Anolis sagrei: one gene and its partner. The protein of the gene in region 1 purifies or fractionates together with the protein of each later gene. This does not show direct contact. Links are inferred from orthologs where the notes say so. Each region holds a gene or a part of one and is shown on either strand. Other genes may lie near its edges.

Region 1 (7,632 bases):
TGTTCCTGCTTTGCTGTGCTGCCGATGCCACTGACATGGACCACCGTGGTTGTGAAAGGCATTGCTTTGCCCCACAACATTCGGGATGTAACAAGAGCACGGACCACCGTGGTTGTGAAAGGCATTGCTTTGCCCCACAACATTCGGGATGTAACAAGAGCGCGGACCACCGTGGTTGTGAAAGGCATTGCTTTGCCCCACAACATTCGGGATGTAACAAGAGCGCGGACCACCGTGGTTGTGAAAGGCATTGCTTTGCCCCACAACATTCTTTCAGCCCTGAATTTTTTTCCTGAGGTCCTAATGATTTAGAAGATGGTGTCTCCTTCAATTCTGAATCGAGTAACTGGCAGCACGGTGAAAATACCAAACATATTCAGTTTGTGCAACCCCCTTTTTTCCCTATGGAATGCAGCGATTTGAAATATATGTTACCACATACAGAGAGAAGCTGCAGTACTGATCCGTGTGTTTAATTACACTGAGATTAATAAACAGCAGGTCTTTGGGTTCAGAATTAAATTGAGCAAACAGTTATATCCCATTCTAGGACTTGTTGCAACAGGTCCAAACTCTCCAATCTGTATAATTTAATATCAATGTACCAGCAACAAACTATTGCCATTAACAAGGAATACCAAAATTGTGGGTTATTTCTCTGTCTTATCAGCGAAAAGGGAAGCCAAAGTGCCAGAATCAGAGATCAAGATAAACAAAAGGCTGGGTTCCATGACAGGAATACCTCAGCTCAGCTGCAGTGGACAAAAGTTGGGCTTTGGGTGCATGTACATTATAGGACAAATGTAGTTCGAGACCACTTCACCTGTCATGGGAGAAAGAACTCGTGTCTGTTTGAGGCAAGTGTGAATGTTGCAATTGGCCACCTTGATTAGCATTTAATGGCCTTGCAGTTTCATAGAATCATAGAATCAAAGAGTTGGAAGAGACCTCATGGGCCATCCAGTCCAACCCCCTGCCAAGAAGCAGGAATATTGCATTCAAATCACCCCTGACAGATGGCCATCCAGCCTCTGCTTAAAAGCTTCCAAAGAAGGAGCCTCCACCACACTCCGGGGCAGAGAGTTCCACTGCTGAACGGCTCTCACAGTCAGGAAGTTCTTCCTAAAGTTCAGATGGAATCTCCTTTCTTGTAGTTTGAAGCCATTGTTCCGCGTCCTAGTCTCCAGGGAAGCGGAAAACAAGCTTGCTCCCTCCTCCCTGTGGCTTCCTCTCACATATTTATACATGGCTATCATATCTCCTCTCAGCCTTCTCTTCTTCAGGCTAAACATGCCCACCTCCTTAAGCCGCTCCAAGCCTGGCTTCTTCCTGCCTGTGGGAATCCTTTGTTGGGCAGTGTTAGCGGGCCTTGATTGATTCTTGTCTGGAATTCCTCTTTTTTTAGTGTTACTCTTTATTTACTGTCCTGATTTTAGAGTTTTTAAAATACTGGTAGCCAATTTCATTGGACAATTTCAACAGAAAGGAGGAAACAATGAAAATGAACAAAATCTGGCAACTAGTATTTTAGAAACACTAAAATCAGGACAGTAAATAAAGAACAACTCTTAATAAACAGGGGAATTCCAGACAGGATACAATCAGGTCCAGCTAACAACTCCCAACGAAGTATTCCCCCCCCCGGCAGGAAGCAGCCAGGCTTTGAAGCTGCAAGGCCATTCAATGACAATGAAAGTGGCCAATTGAAACATTCACACTTGCCTCAAGCAGACCAGAGTTCTTTCTCCCACCCTGGACATTCCACAGATATATAAACCTCACTTGCCTAGTTTCAAACAGACCTCACAACCCCTGAGGATGCCTGCCATAGATGTGGGCAAAACTTCAGGAGAAAATGCTTCTGGAATACGGCCGTACAGACCGGAAAACTCACAGCAACTCAGAGGTATCTATGTTCTTGATATCAAGGAAGACAAGAGGAGGGGGCGGAGAAAGTGCGCCTAACTCTAGGCCCCGCCCATTCCAACCACTTGATGGGCGGAGACAGAACGTTTAACTTCAAGCCCCGCCCACTCAAAGCCCCTTTTTTGTTGTTGTTGTGAGAGAATTGGCCTGGATGATTTTTGATGTTTTATTATCCTTGTGGGAGGCTTCTCTCATGTCCCCGCATGAGGAGCTGGAGCTGATAGAGGGAGAGCTCATCCGCCTCTCCCCGGATTCGAACCTGCGACCTATCGGTCTGCAGTCCTGCCGGCACCGTGCTTTAACCCACTGCGCCACCGGGGGCTCCTACTCAAAGCCCTTAATGGGCGGAGACAGAAGCCTAACTCTAAGCCCCGCCTATTTGGAGCTCTTGATGGGCGGAGACAGAACGCCTAACTCTAGGCCCCGCCCATTCCAAGCCCTTGAGAGGCCTAACTCCAAGCCATCCCTATTTCGAGCCCTTGATTGGCGGAGACAGAGCTTCTGAGTCCAAGCCCCGCCCATTCCAAGGCCTTATTGAGCGGAGACAGAACTTCTAAACCCAAGCCCCGCCTATTTGGAGCTCTTGATGGGCGGAGACAGAAAGCCTAACTCCAAGCCCCGCCCATTCCGAGCCCTTGATGGGCGCAGCCAAAACGCCCAACTCCAAGCCCCGCCTATTTGGAGCTCTTGATGGACAGAGACATCTTCAAGCCCCGCCCATTCCACCCCTTGATGAACGGAGAAAGAGTTCCTAAGCCTAAGCCCCGCCCATTCCAAGCCCTTGATGGGCGGAGACAGAACGCCCAACTTCAAGCCCCGCCCATTCTACTCCTTGATGAGCAGAGACAGAGCGTCTAAGTCCAAACCCCGCCCATTCCAAGCCCTCAATGGGCGGAGACAGAACCCTAACTCCAAGCCCCGCCCATTCGGAGCCCTTATTTATTTATTTCTCGTGTCAGGGCAGCCAGTCAATTATATTACATTTCCAACAGAACAAAGCAAACAAACAGAGAAAATACAAAATTTGTGAGTTTGGTAGTTGATCAAATGTCCTTTGACCAGTATCTGGCCACTTGGAGTGCTTCTGGTGTTGCTGCAAGAAGGTCCTCCATGGTGCATGTGTCAGGGCTCAGGGTGCATTGCAGCAGGTGGTCAGTGGTTTGTTCTTCTCCGCACTCCCATGCCGAGGATTCCACTTTGTAGCCCCATTTCTTAAGATTGGCTCTGCATCTCGTGGTGCCAGAGCAGCCTGTTCAGCGCCTTCCAAGTCGCCCAGTCTTCTGTGTGCCCAGGGGGGAGTCTCTCATCTGGTATCACCCATGAATTGAGGTGCTGGGTTTGGGCCTGCCACTTTTGGACTCTCGCTTGCTGAGGTGTTCCAGCGAGTGTCTCTGTAGATCTAAGAAAACTATGTCTTGATTTAAGTCGTTGGCGTGGTGGCTGATACCCAAACAGGAGATGAGCTGGAGATGTCTCTGCCTTGGTCCTTTCACTATTGGCTGCTACTTCCCGGCGGATGTCAGGTGATGCAATACCAGCTAAGCAGTGTAATTTCTCCAGTGGTGTAGGGCGCAGACACCCCGTGATAATGCGGCATGTCTCATTAAGAGCCACAGCCACTGTTTCAGTGTGGTGAGATGTGTTCCATACTGGACATGCATACTCAGCAGCAGAGTAGCATAGCGCAAGGGCAGATGTCTTCACCGTATCTGGTTGTGATCCCCAGGTTGTGCCAGTCAGCTTTCCTATGATATTGTTTCTCGCACCCACTTTTTGCTTGATGTTCAGGCCGTGCTTCTTATAGGTAAGAGCACAGTCCAGAGTGACTCCCAGGTATTTGGGTGTGCTGCAATGCTCCAGTGGGATTCCTTCCCAGGTGATCTTCAGAGCTCGGGATGCTTGTCTGTTCTTGAGATGAAAGGCACATGTCTGTGTTTTAGATGGGTTGGGGATCAGCTGGTTTCCCCTGTAATAGGCAGTAAGAGCACCTAGAGCTTCGGAGAGCTTCTGTTCAACCATCTCAAAGCTCCCTGCTTGAGCTTTGGTTCCAGAAGTAACCAGCATTCAACCCCTTGATGAGCGGAGACAGAGTTCCTAATCCTAAGCCCCGCCCATTCCAAGCCCTTGATGGGCGGAGACAGAACGCTCAACTTCAAGCCCCGCCCATTCCACCCTTGATGAGCGGAGACAGAGCTTCTAAGCCGAAGCCCCGCCTATTTGGAGCTCTTGATGGGCGGAGACAGAACGCCCTAACTCGAAGCCCCGCCCATTCCAAGCCCTTAGTGAGCGGAGACAGAGGTTCTAAGTCCAAACCCCGCCCATTCCAAGCCCTTAATGGGCGGAGACAGAACGCCTAACTCCAAGCCCCGCCCATTCGGAGCCCTTGATGGGCGGAGACAGAGCTTCTAAGTCAAATCCCCGCCTCTTTGGAACTCTTGCTGGGCGGGGACAGAACGCCCTAACTCGAAGCCCCGCCCAGTCGGAGCCCTTGATGGGCAGCTGGGGCCCCGCCTCCTGGCTGGTATGCGAAGGGCGGGCGGTGGAATGACGCCGGGGCCCCGGGGGTCACGTGGGGGCGAAAGGAATGCTAACAATGTAGCGAATGTCCCAACTGTGCGGGGCTGCTGCCGCATTTCTGGGCGCGAGGCGGAGGGAGGCGAGAAGAATGGAGAAGCAGCAGCAGCAGCAGAGGCAGCAATACGAATATGATGATTTGCGGGGCGCCTTCCGAAGCAGAAGCCAAGCTGTTCCCAGAGTGGTGGAAGTTTCCCCTTGATCCTTTTTCCCCCAGGAAAGAAAGAAAGCAAGCAAGCAAGCTTCCCTTTTGGAGGTAAGGAGCGCAGGAGGGGTGGGGCTGGGCGCCTTCCTCCTCCTTCCTTCTCCCAAAGCCCTTCTTGCTTTTCCTTCCTTGCTTCGGAGCAACAAGTCCGGGGAAGCTGTCGTGCAAAAGTTACTCAACTTGGAAGTATGAGAAGGAGAAACCCCGGGCATTGCAATGGCTCCTTCTTGGAAGTTGGGAGGGAGGAGTGGAAGGCTGGATGGTCATCTGTTGGGAGGGCTTTGGTTGTGTATGCCTGCATGGCAGAATGGGGTTGGAATCATCATCATGGTGGAGCCTCCTTCTTTAACTCCTTGAAGCTTTAATTCAGCAACTGGATGGCCATCTGTCGGGAGGGCTTTGGTTGTGTATTCCTGCATGGCAGAATGGGGTGGAATCATCATCATGGTGGAGCCTCCTTCTTTAACTCCTCGAGGGTTTTATTCAGCAGCTGGATGGCCATCTGTTGGGAGTGCTTGGGTTGTGTGTGTTTTTTCATGGCAGAATGGAGTGTTTGGGTTGTGTAGTCTTATATGGCAGAATGGGGTTGGACTGGATGGCCCTTGGGGTTCCCAACCAATTCTCCCTAACAATGCATTCCAAGTGGTGTTAGACTGCACTAATTCTGCAGTGTAGATGCTCCAGAACATACATGGGCAAACTTGGGCCCTCCAGGTGTTTTGGACTACAACTCCCACAATTCCTAACAGCCGGTAGGAATACTTATTATTGATAATAATATTGCAATATATTGCAATATAATACTAATAATGCAAAATGGTAATAGTATTTTATATATTACATGTAATATTACTAATAGTATTGCAGTATAGTAATACAAAATACTAATATTGTACTAAGCTAATAATACAATATGATAATCGTATTTTATATGTAATATTAATAATAATATTGCAACATAGTGGTATAGTAATATATAATACTAATATTGTACTATGCTGATAATATAATATATTGTATGTACGTATAATATTGAGCATAATATTGTAATACAATATAATCTTAAAGAATACAATATAATAATAATGTAATAATTATATATTACACTATAATAATTGTATATTATATAGTCCATGTAATATTACTAATAACATTGCAGTATAGTGTATAGTAAAATATAGGAATATATAATACTAATATTGTACTATGCTAATAAAATAATATCCTGTATGTACATATAATATGGATCATAATATTGTAATACAATATAATCCTAAAGAATACAATATAATAAAACAATAATTATATATTACATGTAATATATAATGTTGATAATACTATTATAATGTAATACAATGTAATGCTAATAATATTACAATATACTAATTGTATATTAAATATTACATGTAATATTACTAATAATATTGCAGTATAGTGGTATAGTACAATATAGGAATATATAATACTAACATTGTACAATGCTAATAATATAATGTATTTTAAGTATATATAATATTGATCATAATATTGTAATATAATGCAATAAACTAATAATACAATATAATAATTCTGTACTATATAATACATGTAATATTACTAATAATATTGCAGTATAGTGGAATATATAGGAATAGTGGAATATAAATAGGAATATATAATACTAATATTGTGCTATGCTATATATTGAATGTACATGTAATACTGATCATAATATTATAATACAATATAATAGTAATAATACAATTTGCGCAGTTGGTTAAACCGCTGAGCTGCTGAATTTACTGACCGAAAGGTTCACAGTTCAAATCCAGGGAGGGGGTGAACTCCCACTGTTAGCCTCAGCTTCTGCCAACCTAGCAGTTCGAAAACATGCAAATGTGAGTAGATCAATAGGTACCACTTCTGCGGGAAGGTAACAGTGCTCCATGCGGTCATGCCAGCCACATGTCCTTGGAGATGTCTAGGAACAATGCCAGCTCTCTAGCTTAGAAACAGAGATGAGCATCACCCCCCAGAGTCGGTCACGACTAGACTTAAAGGTGATGGGGAACCTTTACCTTTACTAAAATCAATATATTGAAAAATTTGGTGGATCTTAGATTCAATGACATCTTGGAACAGAATAAATAAGATATTACTATTCATGTTTTCCCAGTACTATCATCACATGGCATTCATAGAAGCAGGGCCGTAGCCAGAAAAAAATTTCGGGGAGGGTTGAAAATTTGGGGGGGGGGGGGTGTGTGTGAAAATTTTGGGGAGGGTTGAAAATTTTGGGGGTGGGTGGGGTTGAAATCTGCTTCCTAGCTCACGCTGAAGCAAAGAGCACAGCAGGGGGCAGAGCAACCTTCAATAGCCTGCAGCTCCACCCCTGTCAACCACCTCCACCAAGTCTGGCCCCCAACTTGGTTGCTTCACTACATCGGCTATTGCTGCAAGTAATAATAATAATGAATAAATTGTCAATATTTGCTTGAGATAGTGCTTACATTTCTGGAGGGACTCTTGATTTTTTTGCATCTCATAGACTTAGCATGGGGATTTGGTTAACCAGTTAAAATTCATGAGTAAACCAGTTTTTTTAAAAAAAATCTGAAACATTTCGGGGGGGGGGGTTGAACCCCTAAAACCACCCTCTCGCTACAGGCCTGCATAGAAGTTCCTTCTCAATTTTTATTTATCAACGTCTTCCTCAAATTTCTGAAAACTACTAGTCTCTCTCCCACCCCCACATTAAAGTCAAATACAAAAAAAGTTTCAAAATATTTTTTTTGCCAAAAATAGTACTGTTTTAGATTTGAATGAGAGTCCAAGAAGTTAAAATTTGTTTGTTTATCTATATACTATTTTTATACTCCACCCTCTCTCAACCCAGAGGGGACTCAGAGCAACTTACAAGTTTTATGTACATACAATGTATTATTAGC
Region 2 (7,353 bases), on another chromosome or scaffold:
AAGGAGGCTGGAATGAGTAGAGCATGAATAAAATGATGATTCTGCCTCTTCACTTGATGCTTCCTTGCCACAACTTTGTGCTTCTACCATTTTCAAGTTGATCTTTCTTTTTTATTGTTCCATGCAAATGTGAATTTATACATTGGGTTGTTGTAGGTTTTTTTGGGCTATATGGCCATGTTCTAGAGGCATTCTCTCCTGATGTTTCACCTGCATCTATGGCAAGCATCCTCAGAGGTAGTGAGGTCTGTTGGAACTAGGAAAATTGGGTTTATATATCTGTGGAATGACCAGGGTGGGACAAAGAACTCTTGTCTGTTGGAGCTAGGTGTGAATGTTTCAACTGGCCACCTTGAGTAGCATTTGATGGCCTGGCAATGCCTGGGGCAATCTTTTGCTGAGAGATGATTAGATGTCCTTGATTGTTTCCTCTCTGTTGTTTTGCTGTTGTGATTTTAGAGTTTTTTTTTAATACTGGTAGCCAGATTTTGTTCATTTTCATGATTTCCTCCTTTCTGTTGAAATTTTCAATTTATACATTATTTATTAATTACGAAGTACATATTCTTATTTAAAAACATGTAAAACTATGGAGGGGTGGGATCCAAAACACCCAGAGGAGAGCCAAAGTTTGCCCATGTGTATTCTACTGGTTTGAGTCATGGACTCCAAGCCAACCTAAAGTCATAGACTGTAACAACCAGAACTGTCTATGGTGTTTTAAACTGGGCCTAAGAATGGCTATATTCAGGGATGTTGTTATTTAATGTATGTTCTATTTTTAACTGGATAGTAGTTTACAACAAGATGAAAACAAGATACAACTAAACATGATAATATAAGTGCCATTTTAAGCAAGCTTTCTTCCTGCTTTCCCTTTCTTTCCTTCTTCCTTCCCTGCTATGTGCCTTCCTTCTCTTTCCTTCTTCCTTCCTTCCTTGCCTACCTATCCTTTCCTTCCTCCTCTTTTGTTTCTTCCCCCCTCCTCTTTCTCTTCTTCGTTTCCTCTTTCACTCATTCTTTCCTTCCTTCCCACTTTCCTTCCTTCCCTTTCACACATTCTATCCTTCCTTCCCAACTTTCTTTCTTTCCCTTCTTTCCTTTCTTCCGACTTTCTCTCCTTCTTCCTTCCTTCACTCATTCTTTCCTTCTTTCTCAACTTTCTTCCCTTCTTTTCCCCTTCTTTCTTTCCTTCCTACTTTCTCTCCTTCTTTCTTGCCTTCTCTCTTTCTCTCATATCTTCCCTCTTTCCTTCCTACTCAAATTTCTTCTCTTCCCTACTTTCTGTCCTTCCCTCTTTCACTCATTCTCTCCTTTCTTCTCAACTTTCTCTCCTTCTTTCCTTTCTTCCTTCTTTCTCTTCTTCCTTCCCTCTTTCAGTCATTTTTTCTTTCCCTTCCTTTTCAACTTTCTCTTCTTTCCTTCTTCCCCTTTCTCTCCTTCCTTCCCTCTTTCACTCATTCTTTCTTTTCCTTCCTTCTCAACTTTCCTTCTTTCTTTTCTTCCTCTCCTTTCTCCTTTCATTCCTTCCCTTTCTCTTCTTCCTTCCCTCTTTCGCTCATTCTTTCTTTTCCTTCTTTCTCAACTTTCTCTCCTTTCCTTTCTTCCCTCTTATTTTTCTTCTTTTTCTCCTTCCTCCTTTCATTCCTTCCCTCTTTTGCTCATTCTTTTTTTCCTTCCTTCTCAACTTTCTCTCCTTCTTTCCTTTCTTCCTCTTCCTTCCCTCTATTGCTCATTCTTTCTTTTCCCTTTTCTCAACTTTCTTTCCTTTCTTCTTTCCTACCCTTTGTGTCTCCTTCTTTCTTCTTCCCTCCCTTCCCTCTCACTCGTTCTTTCCTTTCTTCTCAACTTTCTCTCTTTCCTTTCTTCCTTCTTACTCTTCTTCTTTCTCTCCTTCCTTCCCTCTTTCACTCATTCTTTCTTTTCCTTGCTTCTCAACGTTCTCTCTTCTTTCCTTTCTCCCTTCTTACTCTTCTTCTTTCTCTCCTTCTTCTTACCTTCCTTCCCTTTCTCTCCTTCCTTCTTTCACTCATTCTTTCCATTCCTTCCTTCTCAACATTCTCTTCTTCTTTCTCTCCTTCCTTCTTCTACCCTTCCCTTCCTCCTCCTCCTTTTCCTTCCTCCCCTCTTTCACTCATTCTTTCCATTCCTTCCTTCTCAACATTCTCTTCTTCTTTCTCTCCTTCCTTCTCTCCTTCCTTCCCGCTCACTCCTTCTTCCCTTCCTTCTCAACGTTATCTCCTTCCTTCTTCTTTCCTTCCTTCCCTCTCACTCATTCTTTCCTTCCTTCTCAACTTTTATCTCCTTTCCCTTCTTCCTTCTTTCTCTCCTTTCTTCCTTCTTACTCTTCTTCCCTCTTTTTCTTCTTCTTCCACTTTCCTTCCTCCCCTCTCAATCATTGTTTCCTTTCTTCTCAACTTTTTCTCCTTCTTTCTATCCTTCCTTCTTCTTCTCTCCTTCCTTCCCTCTCACTCCTTCTTTCCTTCCTTCCTTCCCGCTCACTCCTTCTTCCCTTCCTTCTCAATGTTATCTCCTTCCTTCTTCTTTCCTTCCTTCCCTGTCACTCACTCTTTCCTTACTTCTCAACTCTATCTCCTTCTTTCCTTCCTTCCTCCTTCTTTTTCTCTACTTCCTTCTTCTTTCCTTCCTTTCTTCTCAACTCCTTCCCTTCCTTCTTACTCTTCTTTTCTCCATCCTTCTTCTTCCCTTCCTTCCCTCTCACTCATTCTTTCCTGCCCTCTTTCCCTCCCCTTTTCCCCTCCCCTCCTTCATCTCCTTCCTACTCACTGCGGAGGAGGGGGCTGGTCTCCTTGATGACGTACTTGCCCTGCACCTCCCCGGGCTTCGAGAGCTCCCCCCGGGCCTTCTTCCGGGAAAGCATCCCCCGCCAGGGAAGGAAGAGAGGGAGGGAAGCAGGGAGGGAAGCCCGGCCTGCCCTCGGCCCCTCTCACCGCCTCCTCCGCTTCCTCATGGCCTTCCCCTCGGAAGAGAACCTTCCCTTTTCCACCCGGGAGGAAGGACACTCAGGGAGAAAGAGAGGGAGAAGGCCCGCCCGGAAGACCGACCCTCTTCCCTTCATTCAGGGGTAAACACAGGAAGCGGAAGTCCGCCAGGACTCAGGACTCGGGTAGAGCTGCTCACAGCGCCACCGTGCGGCCGGAAGGAGAATCTTCATTGCTCTCAAAACTGTTTTCAACAAACCTGGGCCAACTTGGGCCCTCCCTCCAGGGGTTTTGGACTACAACTCCCACAATTCCTAACAGCCGGTAGGCTGTTAGGAATTGTGGGAGTTGTGGTCCAAAACCCTTGGAGGCAGGGAGGGAGGGCCCAAGTTGGCCCATGCCTGCTTAGCTGGCCCTGATTGTTTCCTGTCTGTAATTCCTCTGTTTGTTGAGTGTTGCTCTATGTTTACTGTCCTGGTTAACTGTCCAAGGTGAACTGAACCACCTCAACTGGGCTCTCCAGGCGACATTGATTAGCATTGAATGGCCCTGCAGCTTCAAAGCCTGGCTGGTTGCTTCCTAGGGGATCCTTTGTTGGAAGGTGTTAGCTGGCCCTCAACTGGGCTCTCCAGGCCACATTGATTAGCATTGCATGGCCTTGTAGCTTCAAAGCCTGGCTGGTTGCTTCCTGGGGAAATCCTTTGTGTGCAGTGTTAGCTGGCCCTGATTGTTTCCTGTCTGGAATTCCTTTTAAAAAAAATAGTGTTGCTCTTTATTTACTGTCCAAGGTGAACTGAACCACCTCAACTGGGCTCTCCAGGCCACATTGATTAGCATTAAATGGCCCTGTAGCTTCAAAGCCTGGCTAATTGCTGCCTGGGGGAATGCTTTGTTAGGAGGTGTTAGCTGGCCCTGATTATTTTCTGTCCAGAATTCGTCTGACTTTTTTAGTCCTGATTTACTGTCCAAGGTGAACTGAACCACCTCAACTGGGCTCTCCAGGCCACATTGATTGGCATTGACTGGCCTTGCAGCTTCAAAGCCTGGCTGGTTGCTTCCTAGGGGATCCTTTGTTGGAAGGTGTTAGCTGGCCCTCAACTGGGCTCTCCAGGCCACCTTGATTAGCATTGACTGGACTTGCAGCTTCAAAGCCTGGCTGGTTGCTGCCTGGGGGAATCCTTTGTTGGAAGGTGTTAGTTGGCCCCCAACTGGGCTCTCCAGGCCACCTTGATTGGCATTGAATGGCCATGCAGCTTAAAAGCCTGGCTGATCACTGCCCGGGGGACTCCTTTGTTGGGAGGTGTTAGCTGGGCCTGATTATTTTCTGTCTGGAATTCCTCTGGGTTTTTTTTTAGTCCTGATTTACTGTCCAAGGTGAACTGAACTCCCTCAACTGGGCTCTCCAGGCCACACTGATTGGCATTGACTGGCCTTGCAGCTTCAAAGCCTGGCTGGTTGCTTCCTAGGGGATCCTTTGTTGGAAGGTGTTAGCTGACCCTCAACTGGGCTCTCCAGGCGACATTGATTAGCATTGACTGGCCTTGCAGCTTCAAAGCCTGGCTGATTGCTGCCTGGGGAATCCTTTCTTAGGAGGTGTTAGCTGGCCCTGATTGTTTCCTGTCTGGAATTCCTTTGTTGTTGTTTTTTTTATAGTGTTGCTCTTTATTTACTGTCCAAGGTGAACTGAACCCCCTCAACTGGGCTCTCCAGGACACATTGATTAGCATTGAATGGCCATTTATTTACTGTCCAAAGTGAACTGAACCACCTCAACTCGGCTCTCCAGGTCACAGTGATTAGCACTGAATAGCCTTGCAGGTTGCTGCCTGGGGGAAACCTTTGTTGGCGGCCCTGATTGTTTCCTGTTTGGAATTCCTCTGTTTTTTGAGTGTTGCTTTTTTTACTGTCCTGATTTACTGTCCAAGGTGAACTGAACTCCCTCAACTGGTCTCTCCAGGCCACATTGATTAGCATTGACTGGCCTTGCAGCTTCAAAGCCTGGCTGGTTGCTGCCTGGGGGAATCCTTTGTTGGCGGCCCTGATTGTTTCCTGTTTGGAATTCCTCTGTTTTTTGAGTGTTGCGCATTTTTTACTGTCCTGATTTACTGTCCAAGGTGAACTGAACTCCCTCAACTGGTCTCTCCAGGCCACATTGATTAGCATTGACTGGCCTTGCAGCTTCAAAGCCTGGCTGGTTGCTGCCTGGGGGAATCCTTTGTTTGGGGGGGGGATGTTAGCTGGACCTGACAAGAAACAAGCACTGCCAGCTAACACCTCCCAGCCTCCCAAGTAATTATGGTGTCATTGTTTTCCTCCCCCCCCCCCCCACACACACATACATACACACGCACCCCACCACGGTTGCAATGATACAACTTAAGGAGGATTGTGTTGGTAAGAGTCCATATATTAAAAGTAGCACATAATGTACATCAACTCCCTCCTCCAACTGAAATGAAATTGAATCAAAGTCGTTCTAAAAAACAGAGAAAGCCACACTGAAGGTGTTAGAAAACAACAACAACACAATTACTGGACATGTTGAGGTTGAGACCGAAGTCAGGGCTGCCCATTTGCTTTGGTTCTAACATGTATGGCATTCAGATTCCTGAGAATCTTCCAATTAATTCAAAATAAATTGAAATAGTCCCTGGAAGTGCTCTAATCAAGATCAATAAAAGTGCTCTTGGGCAAAGGGGGCCAACTTCTGAGCAATCTTGACATTATAGTGTTTGCATGAATACATGGAAGTTGTCATAAACGAAACACAACCACTTGCATCCTACAATGCATCTGCATGGTGCAATTAATGCAGGCTCAGTGCTGTGGAATTCTGGGAATTGGAGTCTGAAAAGGTGTGGAATTCTGGGAGTTATAGTCATATAAGGCAATTATCCTGGCTTCAAACTACAAGAGAGGAGATTCCATCTGAACACGAGGAAGAACTTCCTGACTGTGAGAGCCGTTCAGCAGTGGAACTCTCTGCCCCGGAGTGTGGTGGAGGCTCCTTCTTTGGAAGCTTTTAAACAGAGGCTGGATGGCCATCTGTCAGGGGTGCTTTGAATGCAATATTCCTGCTTCTTGGCAGAATGGGGTCGGACTGAATGGCCCATGAGGTCTCTTCCAACTCTAGGATTCTAGGATTCTATTCTATCCTCTGCCAGAGCGATGCTCGTCACCACACCACACATCTTAGGATTCCATAGCATTGAGGGCCATTAAAGTGATGTCAAACTGCATTAATTCCGCAGTGTAGATGTGACTAGCAGTGGAAACTTTAAAGTGAGTGAAGATGTGTGAGAAATCAACTAATACCAGGACTAGTAGTAGAGGGTGCATGTAAACTGTAGAATTAATGCAGTTTGACGCCACTTTATCAATGACAGTTATGCTCGCCACACGACCAAGAGGTGTCAGTGGACAACGCAGGCTCCTCAGCTTGGAAATGGAGATGACAATGTATGTCTGTGTCCATATCTCTTAAAGGGGATTGGCTTAACTTCCAGTTTGCTAGTAAAACTGAATTACCATGTCTCAAAAATGCTCGCAATGTTCTGCTCTAGCTCCTTTGGAAGCTTTTAAGCAGAGGCTGGATGGACATCTGTCAGGGGTGCTTTGAATGCAATTTTCCTGCTTCTTGGCAGAATGGGGTTGGACTGGATGGCCCATGAGGTCTCTTCCAACTCTGTGATTCTATGATTCTGTGATTTGTAGCTTTGGCATCAACATTTCTGTGCAAGTAGTAATGGCCAAGGACTGTGCGAATGGAGGTCTACCTATGTTTAGTGTTTGAAGGTGCATTGCACTTCCAACGTCATAGCGCTCCTCCTCCAGGTTGAACTCTCCATCAAATGGGGAGTTTGCAGTAAGGCATCCAGGGAGGAAGTTGAGATCGAGATTGAGAAGGAGCCGCCCTGGCACGGATCTAAACCTCTAACATCCCAAAGGCAGCGTTTTCTAAAACAGGCGAAATGCCCAGCATTTCCTCACTAAAGTGCATGGGTTGTGCAGAGTTCGGCAGACGTGTTACGAGCCCAGCTGAACCGTGGACCCCAATGTTGGGGAGGTCAGGTTGCTGACGATCCTGCTGAGGTTGGCAATTTTCTCCTCCAGCAAGTAGTTCTTCTTCTCCACCGTTTGATGCCTCTGTTCCGTCATCTCCAGGGCTTTCAGGAGCTGGGCGTTCTCAACGTAGAGGTCTTTCACCATTTCGTCTGCTTTTCTGTTCTTGGTGAGCTGAAACACAAGAAACAAGGAGTTGTCGCTCAAGCAATGGGACTCTTCCCCCGCCATTTAGGCCGGGACTAGAACTGGGCACGAAGGTTGACCTATGAAGTAGACATGTGCAATTCAAAGGAGCTGGGGATGGTGATGGCCGACAGGGAGCTCTGGCGTGGGCTGGTCCATGAGG

Evidence for each region.
Region 2: the proteins of LATS2 (region 1) and SAV1 purify together in Homo sapiens (affinity purification with western blotting; 4 studies listed by BioGRID, with this or other methods). This does not show direct contact. The link is inferred for Anolis sagrei from reciprocal best matches to the Homo sapiens genes LATS2 and SAV1.

What each region holds. Positions count from the first base shown.
Region 1 is NC_090023.1:28,496,104-28,503,735, reverse strand, and holds the start of LATS2 (serine/threonine-protein kinase LATS2), read left to right. Parts: upstream 1-4,496; 5' UTR 4,497-4,756; intron 4,757-7,632. UniProt on the Homo sapiens protein: Negative regulator of YAP1 in the Hippo signaling pathway that plays a pivotal role in organ size control and tumor suppression by restricting proliferation and promoting apoptosis.
Region 2 is NC_090021.1:339,940,721-339,948,073, reverse strand, and holds the start of SAV1 (protein salvador homolog 1), read right to left. Parts: upstream 3,079-7,353; 5' UTR 2,882-3,078; coding exon 2,788-2,881; intron 1-2,787. UniProt on the Homo sapiens protein: Regulator of STK3/MST2 and STK4/MST1 in the Hippo signaling pathway which plays a pivotal role in organ size control and tumor suppression by restricting proliferation and promoting apoptosis.